Neodiprion lecontei: one gene and its partner. The protein of the gene in region 1 purifies or fractionates together with the protein of each later gene. This does not show direct contact. Links are inferred from orthologs where the notes say so. Each region holds a gene or a part of one and is shown in the gene's direction. Other genes may lie near its edges.

What was found.
Region 2: the proteins of protein FAM98A (region 1) and RNA transcription, translation and transport factor protein purify together in Homo sapiens (affinity purification with mass spectrometry; 4 studies listed by BioGRID and IntAct, with this or other methods). This does not show direct contact. The link is inferred for Neodiprion lecontei from reciprocal best matches to the Homo sapiens genes FAM98A and RTRAF.

The regions. Positions count from the first base shown.
Region 1 is NC_060266.1:24,793,118-24,797,952, forward strand, and holds protein FAM98A, read left to right. Parts: upstream 1-1,925; 5' UTR 1,926-2,163; coding exon 2,164-2,201; intron 2,202-2,542; coding exon 2,543-2,909; intron 2,910-3,017; coding exon 3,018-3,308; intron 3,309-3,400; coding exon 3,401-3,699; intron 3,700-3,804; coding exon 3,805-4,102; 3' UTR 4,103-4,153; downstream 4,154-4,835. Other genes in the region: protein MIS12 homolog, read left to right, coding at 255-424, 573-710, 827-1,114. UniProt on the Homo sapiens protein: Positively stimulates PRMT1-induced protein arginine methylation. Involved in skeletal homeostasis. Positively regulates lysosome peripheral distribution and ruffled border formation in osteoclasts.
Region 2 is NC_060266.1:183,831-188,184, forward strand, and holds RNA transcription, translation and transport factor protein, read left to right. Parts: upstream 1-1,777; 5' UTR 1,778-1,900; coding exon 1,901-1,961; intron 1,962-2,064; coding exon 2,065-2,286; intron 2,287-2,379; coding exon 2,380-2,478; intron 2,479-2,571; coding exon 2,572-2,936; 3' UTR 2,937-3,684; downstream 3,685-4,354. Other genes in the region: probable serine/threonine-protein kinase nek3, read right to left, coding at 1-533, 703-744, 1,030-1,149, 1,273-1,354; AN1-type zinc finger protein 2A, read right to left, coding at 4,047-4,354. UniProt on the Homo sapiens protein: RNA-binding protein involved in modulation of mRNA transcription by Polymerase II. Component of the tRNA-splicing ligase complex and is required for tRNA ligation.

The DNA.
Region 1 (4,835 bases):
TCTCATCTGTATTTCCATTCTGATTGCGATCCGTTCAGTCTCCTCGCCAGTTTCTTTTTCTAATCTGTTATACTTTTTCGACAACTTGTTTCTACTCATGTTCCGTTTCACGTACGGCAGATAACGTCAGGCTCTTATGCGACCTTTCAAGTCTGTTTTTACTGTTATTATCAGCGCGATCTAAATCTTTCACATTCCTATGCTTGTCAGGCTCGCTTCTACGTGTTGAAACATTGGCATTGTAATCGTTTCAGTAAAGAATATAATAAAGGAAGAGGTACGGTCGGTCTGTCAGAATCTGAGCAAATCCATTGAAAGTAAATATAAACTGGGCAGTGAGGAGCTTTCTGTTCTCAGAACAGAGGCTAAGGATTTGGTTCAGACTTATGAAAACAGAGCTGAATCTCACATGGAATCATTGAATGTAATTATTCCTCTACAGTGTCTTTAGTTTCATCTTCTAAGAAATTTAACAAACGTTAAAAATCCAGGTCATCTTGGTCTTAGATTATCGCCACCTCTTCATCCGCGATTGTTGACAATTGTACTGTGAACCTGACATTGTTTTGCAGAACATTGTACGACAATTCATTGCAATTCCTGACAACGTTTTATTAGACGAGGATAAAGGTCAAGCTGTTCAGGTCAGCGAAGATGAATTCGAAGAACTGAAGACCAAGATGGACAATCTCCAAAAGAGAGCCGAAGGGGTCAGAATAAATTTCATGAAAATGTTTCCATGTAAAATACCACTTGGAAAACCTATACTCGTTATAAATTTAAATTGTACCCTTTGTTTCATTTAATCGAGGGTGATTTTTGATAGGTCACAATGTTCAACGCCGCTTTACGCCAAGAACTCGAACTTCAAAAAAGATTCAAGGCCTGCGAGGACGCGATAAACAATGCGAGCAGGGAGATTAAAGATAACACCGTTGTACCAAATTTGGATGACCAAATAACAGAATTCATCCAGCAATCGGAAAAACTTAGAATGCAGCTACCAATTCCTGAATCTCAATGCGAAAGGCACAAATACAATCCACCCTTGGAAAATCTTAAAGATTTTGATCTCGTATACCGTGAAACTTTAATTAATACTGCCAATGAATAGAGCAATCTTACTAAGATGTTATTTGTGGCCTATCAAAGTCTAGAAGAATCTTGAGCATATATGTATGTCTAGTTATATTTTTTTATACACAATTAGGTCATTAGATTTTTTTCAATAAAACTATCTGTTAAATCCTGGTTAATTTCATTTCCGAGTTAGCGAGTTGTCGCATGAAAAACATAAACTTAAACTTTGCGCTATCTTGATTATGCTACGCAAAGGTTGTTGCAACAGATAATCTATCAGCTGAGTTCGAACCTCTTGCAGTTTCAAGTTAAAAAATAATCGTAGTCCTTCAAAGAAACAGTTTCATTTGAATTTCTGTGTTACATTGGAATCATTTATTGAGATCTAAACTTGCTTGCATTATTCTGATTCTCGATCGTCAGAATTATCGATTGTATTAATACTCTACGATTTGTTTCCAATTATTATTGCTTTTGTCAGAATAGTTACCCATATTTAATTCAAGTCTTAACGTTATCGAGTTGATCCATCTACTATCCATTTGAGACTTCCCCGAATTTTTGTTCTCTTCGTTGTTTTCCTTTGAGCTATTATAAGATACACGAAATAATTTTATTTCTACGTATTCAGTACAAACTAATGTATAAAGTCACATCTTTTAGCCATGCCATATTGTTCACAACTCATCATCAACATGTCTGTTTACCAACGTTAAATATTAAATGATTAAATACACATGTTGATGCTCGATTGTTTCTAGAACGTTCGATTGGATTAGCAGATAATACCATTTGAAAATCATGTATTATCGAGTCGTCGAGTTCAGTCTATTTCTAATTTCACCGAATCGAGGGATTTCCGATGTCGTGAATTTGTTCAATGGTGGGGATGGCATGTAACATAAAACGGGGTCCATTGGAGATTAGAAAAGCTCGACAGCAGCTTTGCACAGTGTGCTTATTCGACAGTCGTCAGTTCCGACAGCGGACACGGAATTTTGTACTTTCCTCGCATGAACTTAAACCGATTGATTTATTAACATTTCTCCTAAAAGTTCCGTTTAAATCAAACGGCCAGTGCCAATGGAAACCGATTTGTTACAGAATCTGCAAGACGTTGGGTATGTGGGCAAGTTTTATAGGTTACACCAGTTACCGGCTGATGCAAAGCATTGCCGATTACTAACTTCACATGTGCAATATTTTAGGCTACTTTTTTGAGTAAGGAAACAAAGCTACTGAGTTTCCTCAGAAAATCAGCCTAATATGTTCGAAGTTATGAGGATGTTCAATATTATAAAAAAATTATTGGATAATCATATAGCCGAAAAAGATACCCAAACTTGAAGCTCCGAATTAAAGTAACGTTCACAATGTTATTTGTAAGATAATCAGCAAGTTTGTAAAGAGGATTTTGAACTCGCGTAAAAGATCTACTTAAATTTTGTGCTTGATTCCGCAGGTATAGCGGGGCTCTATCTGACGCGAATGAGTTGTCCAAAGCTTTGAAAGACGGCCCAAAGTCAGTGGAGTTCACTAAGCTGGTGGCGTGGCTGGCAGAAGAATTGTCTGCATTTGGAGAGGTGGATGACTCCGTAAACGCTATAACCACGCCAGAAGATTCGAGCCATTTTCTGCTCGAATTAAGTTCATTTCTCAAGGAATTAGGATGCGCGAATCAAAACCTCATTGGCGGTACTGTGAATCAGAGACTGAGTACAAAGTACGACAGACTCGTTTTACTAGATTATCTGGTAACCGAGCTGATGACCAGCAAGATATTAGGATCATTTAAATCTGACGCGGATCAACAGATGGAAGTAACAATTGTAAGTGTTGTAATTGTTATCAATGTCTAGTTGAATCTATCGATAGTGAATTCTGCTCCGTCTTAATTGGATAACTGTCATGTTGCCATTCTTTATTTTTACTTTCAGAACGAAAGCGACACAGCCAGACATCTCAAAAACATGTTGTTGGCATTGAAGTTTCAAAAACCTCCAGATAACATAAGCGCACAAATGCTGTTCACAAAACTAACTACTAAGTTGAAGGAAGTTGTGGCTCAGGCTCCCCCTGATCTACTCGATACGCCTTTATTTGTGGGCGAGCTATCGAACGACCAATGGGAACGGCTGAATGAACTCCAAGAAGAATTCAAGAACGAGTATAAAACCAGAAGGGAAATGTTACTCAAAAGATTGGATGTCACGGTGCAATCTTTTTTGGTAAAGCATTAAATAACGTCTCACAAAATTCTAGTAAATTTGATGAAATTATCTTATTTTGGAATAAACTAATAACAATCTTAATTTTACAGTGGTCAGAGAATATAAGGTCAAAGGAAGATCAGGTCAACGCATCCTACCAACAAAAACGGAATATCATGTCTCCCGAGCCAAGTGTTTGTATTGCTGATTTACTTGCCGCAAGACGAGATTTAGCCATAGTTGAAAAGACCAGCAATGCTACTGTACGAAAAAATACCAGGAGCCAAGTCAACCAAGTCATTATTGGGGCAGTGCCAGATCGTGGAGGAAGACCTTGCGACCAGCAACCACCTCCACCCGAAATGCCATCTTGGCAAAAAGACCGCGTTGCTGGGCCGAATTCGTCCAGGTAAAACGCGATCTCACAGTATTTTTGTTCATGGATTGGGGTTCTGTGACTTCGTGATACTTGTTTAAGCACATCAATTGAATATCGTTTCAAAATATTTTTCAGAGGAGGCAGAGGCGGAGGTGGCGGTGGCGGTGGCGGTGGATATCGGGACCACAAAGATGCTTCGAAAAATTTTGGCCAAAACCAAGACAGGTTTCAATCGCAGCAGCAATATCAGCAACAGCAACCACAGTATGAAAGTCGTGGTGATTACCGTGGTCATAATCAAGGAGGTGGAGAGTATCACAGAGGCGGTGGAAGAGGTAGAGTGCAAGGAGGATGGGGCGGAGACCGAGGTACAAGTGGCTATCAACGAGGGAATTCTAATCGCGGAAGAGGTCGAGGTGGACAGCACTATTAAGACAGTTGCGAGAAAAAAAAAAACGGCAACGTCTAAAATAGATGTTATAACGTGCCAGATTAAAATTCGAGTTAAACTTAAATCGTTAAATTTATATTTTGCTATTTCGTGAGATCTCTTTTGTTAATTTTATTTAGTTTGCGGTTCTTTATGTTTGATCAGACGCCTCATGGTTGTTAAGGTTGGTTCTTTACAGGTGCAAAGCTTGTATCAATTTTTTTGTGCTGCATTTCATCCTGATTCATAGTGAATTTGTTCATCACGTTTGCTCGAAATCGCGTTTTGTAATATGCTTACGGTTTCAACAACATACGGCACATAGCGTTTTGGAATTACCACTGAGTGAATCCTATGTTGGTTTTGAGGCATCGAATGAGATTTGGTTTTGGAAATGGGAATGGTGTTTTCAAGCATTTAGAATCTTTATAAATAGAGACAGCACAGTTCCCGCGCAGCTTCAGAGAGAGTAAATGGTACAGAATCGCTGTCTCATGAATCCTGTAAACCCCGCAAAGTAAGACTTCGTGAGATTGTTAATGCATTACCTTCATCTCTGTATTTCATCACACAATATTTTATTTCCCATTTAACCTGAACCAAAATATTCACATGGAATCATTAAAAAATATCGTTGATCATTCCTTCGGCAGCTGTGTTAAAAAGTATTTTGTGGTCAACCCAAGTTAAGAAATATCAGTTAATCGGTACTTTGCTCTGAAATTTGAGGTCCACT
Region 2 (4,354 bases), about 25 Mb from region 1:
CATCGGACTGCTCTCAGGCGTTACTGTGTCGATAGGGACAATGCCAAGCGGCAAACTCTGTTCCTGTTCCTTCGAAAACGATTTCCTTGGTGTCTCTTTAACTTTTCGATATTCCTCTCGATTTTTATTCTCATCTGCATCCTGAATTTCGTCACTTTGCCCTGGCAATTTACTGTGGTAGCTAGGATCAGGTTTTTTTTTCGCCGAAAAGGTCTTCGCTTGTAACCTAGTTAACTTTACAGGGGTTTCGATTAGAACCAGCCAATTTTCAGTCAACGTGTTGTCTGCCACAGCCAATACCCGTTTTTTTCTATCCGTTACGTTACGCTGCTGCGGTTTTAATTCCGCCACGGATGTTCCGCTAATGTTGTCATTCATTTCTTTCCGCAACCTCGACCTTAATGGACGATTTGCTATCTCCGGCTCTTGCAAAGTATTAACTTTGTCAAGTTTCAATTGTCCAATCGGCGACTCAGCCTTGTTCTCACTATCGGAATCGCTCGAGCTTTTTGTAGGCTTCCGTCTACGGCTTCCTGAAAGTTTTGTAAATCAGGTATGAAAGATATTCTCACTCGATATAAGAAATAAAGCTTCAGGCTGTCCAGCGAGTAAACAATTATTGAATTCTCTGAGATTCTCAGATCCTTTAATATGCTGGACATCCTGAACCGAACGTTGTGACAAGCGACAAATTCATCTTACTAGTCGACACAGCAGTGTTGCCTGCGTTCTCTGGCAAGGCACCTGCAACAGAACAGTAATATATTTAAATTATATAGGAAGAACGGTATTAATATTATAATCATGGAAAATAGGACAAACTTGTTTTCAAAATACTTTGATCTTAATCACAAAAGTTGTATGAGGATAATTTCTGATTGACTGATTTTCCTTTCCCCTTTTAATGCAAGATTAAATAAACAACAGTGCCAAGTTCGGTCACCCTGTTATCAAAAGTTGGACAATCATATGATGAGATACAGTTGTACAAGATAAAACACTGAAGGAAAGTAAGACGTTTATTTGTACTTTTTCGATTGCGTCCCGATGCGGTTGACGGTGTTTTCATAGTCTTTGAGGAGGTGTTCGACATCGCCGCCGGCAAAGCTTCCGCATTCTCGTTGTCATCGTCGATAAGTGTCCGCTGATCTGAAATTTTAACGGAGACGATCCATTGGTTAGGGATGGCGAGGAACTCTTTCCATTTCTCGCCGTCCGATTTGAGAGGGCAATCTAACGGCGCGTGTTAATATTGACATGCTTATTGCTTACGCTTTCGAGTGAGGCGTTGGAATTGTCGTTGGGGTGCCGGCATGCCGCTCTCGTCGCTGCTGTGCTTCCTCTTCCGCACCATGTTTACCTTTCCAGAACCACAGGAACGTCGTAGACAGCGTTGAACCGATCCGCGATAACCGACGACAATTTTCACTGACGGATCAGAATTATTTGACGGCTAATTAAAATCTGTCACCCGTCTCTTTTCCCGCTATCGTTGCTTGCTCCCGCTGTTTTGCCCGTTTTTGCACCGCCTTCGGCGTTGAATAACGCTTTTCTCGTTTCAAAGTTTGAAACCGTTGATCGGGGCGCTGCTGCCAGCTGCCTTGGCATGAACTCGATTCATTGCCTTAGAATAACGACTCACAAGTGTATCCAGGGACATGCGTGAAAACGCGCCATATTTTACAGTCGAAAACTTCTAACAAGTCACGATCCCAACTATCGACTCGTTCGCGGGGTGTTGAGTGAATTTCATGCCTTCACATACTCTTTGGCGTTCACTTCCTTACAATGTTTACTCCGTCGATAATTGCGGTATAGCACTGACTTTCAGGTGTACTTTGTCTTGCCGTTAAATAAGAATTGTAAATAAATTATAACCGCGTAATTTTCCACTTATAAAATGTTTAAGAGAAAATTAAAAGCGCTAGATTACATAGACCGGGATAAGATAAACGCGAATGGTGAGTCGCAACCGGTTAGCCGGTACACATACAAAAATTTAACCTCCGGTCTCTCACAAGAGCGATAACAATTTTTCTGAAATTTCAATAATATCGTCTTTAGACCCACAACACTTTCGCAAACTGGTCGTCTGGCTCGAAGACCAAAAGATACGTCACTACAAAATTGAAGATCGAAAGGACATCAGAGATATAAATTCAACCAGTTGGCCCGAAACGTTCAAGAGATATTGCGAGGACGTCGCTTGTCCGATAACTACCCAGCCCGTGGATCAGCTCGAATGGTTGATCGGGTTTGCCATCAAACTGGAGTTCGAGGATAACTGTAAGAACCGTACCATGTTTGTTTGGGTACTACTGAATTCTATTTTCAGGCACTTACGAAAATTTGAGTTTCATTCAATTCAAACTATTGCAGATAAAAAGTATCAACCGATAACAGGCAAGAGTTTGAAAGATATGAATAAACCGGTAGCACCCAACATAAAATCATCAAACCCGTTAGACAATCTGGACTGTGAGTATTATATTTCAGACAAAACTTTTTGAACTTACGAACATGACAAATACCGGTATTCACATTTTTTAATTCTATTTTCGATGATTAAAGTTCACAGTGCAGAGTTTAAGAACGGAATTGAAGAATTACGAAAGCTACTTTGCATTCCTCGACATTCAGATCACCTTGTAACTCTGCAAGCGTGCAGTAAGATAGTTTGCATGAGACTGAATGCAGAAACTTTATTAAATCCAAAATCGATAGTGTTAAAGGGAAAAGAGTTTCCGATATTGGAAGCTGAGTTGGGATTCAATATGGGAGATCCAGTTCTGAATAATGCGGCAAAAATCTTGAGATTGCTGTACATTCAGGATTTGAGGGACCTTCAAACACGAATAAATGAAACAATTGTCAGTGTTCAAAATATCACTGCAAATCCAAGGACTGATACGAAGCTTGGAAAAGTTGGAAGATAAACAGTTAGTCATTACGATTCCCATTGCACATTTACACACACGAATGGGATGTTAAAAATTTTGCTGACGTTCATTGGCTAATATTGTTTGATAACAATAATTGATATCAATTTCTAACAATGAACCAAGTACTGCTATTTATAGACAAATTGATTCGTCATATGTTAGGCGTATTTGAATAATGGAATGTAACGATAGGTCAAAACTAATAAATAATTATAATATACAATCGCATTACATTCGTTGATTGTCTTTTTTCACTTGCTTGTATTGATATCGAATGAATTTAGATGTGAGGAATTCTTTGAAACCTAAGTTTAATGGATAAGAATATAACTCAGATTTCACAATATGTTTATAATAAATATTTATTGTATGGATAAGAGTAGAGGAAAATTTGCAAGTAAAGAACTTTTTACTCGTTTCATAACACAGTTTCTTCTTTTTTGTGTTACAATAAAGCTGGTAGTAACTATTTATCATGACGAATGTACAGAGGCAGTTTGGAACGTGATTTTTCGCAATGTGTATATAGATTATTTTTAAATTATTTACAAAAAATTGCGTAATTAATTAATCACTAGACAGCGATCAGAAGTCTTAATTTGTTACATCATTGCGATTATAACTAGACTTGGTGAAATAGAATTCATGATTGGATAGAATAACTAATAAGGATATGTTTATGTATAATAGTTGAGGAGACTTGATTTAAAATTTAAAGTGAATGTAAACGACTTAAGAGCAACTGACGAAAAAAAAGCTTATATGAAAGATACATAGTTCAATATTTCTTTCAAATTCTCATATATTTAGATTTATAAAACTAAAGCTTAATTTAATGTGAAAAAAGACAGAAATTCAGTTTCCTCCCGTAATAGGCTCAATTATAGAATAGGATTTTGAAAACGTCCAGTTTTTTGATCATCCATAGCTCGTAAGAACCCGCCTACTAATTGATATTTGATGCCTAATTCTAGAAAAGATTTAAAAAAAAAAAAAAAAAAAAAAACGCATCTTCAGCAGTTGACAAGTAATTCTACCAGGATTTCAACACGTCTGTTCTTCGTTGCCGTCACCGTTATATCGTGTTTATAAATTATAAAAGAACTAAGAGAGCCTGCATCTGCCTTTGTTCCCGAGTGGAATCTCTTCCTCTTGACAAGACTCGATCCTCCCGGTATTTTCTTCATCTTGAAGAGAGGCTTGTAAGGCCCTGGCCAAGGCTTCGTCCTCGCTGATAGTTCCTTGAAGATTCGTAAACAGGCTAGAATTGGCATTTTGATTATTCTGTGGGACTTGACTCTCGGCCTGTTTGTTAAGAGCTTCAACCCTCCGCTGACGCATGGTTTCCTCTTTTCCCACACAAGCGTGATCGCAGGGATGCCGGTGTTTCAAGCAAAAGTTTTTCCCGCAGT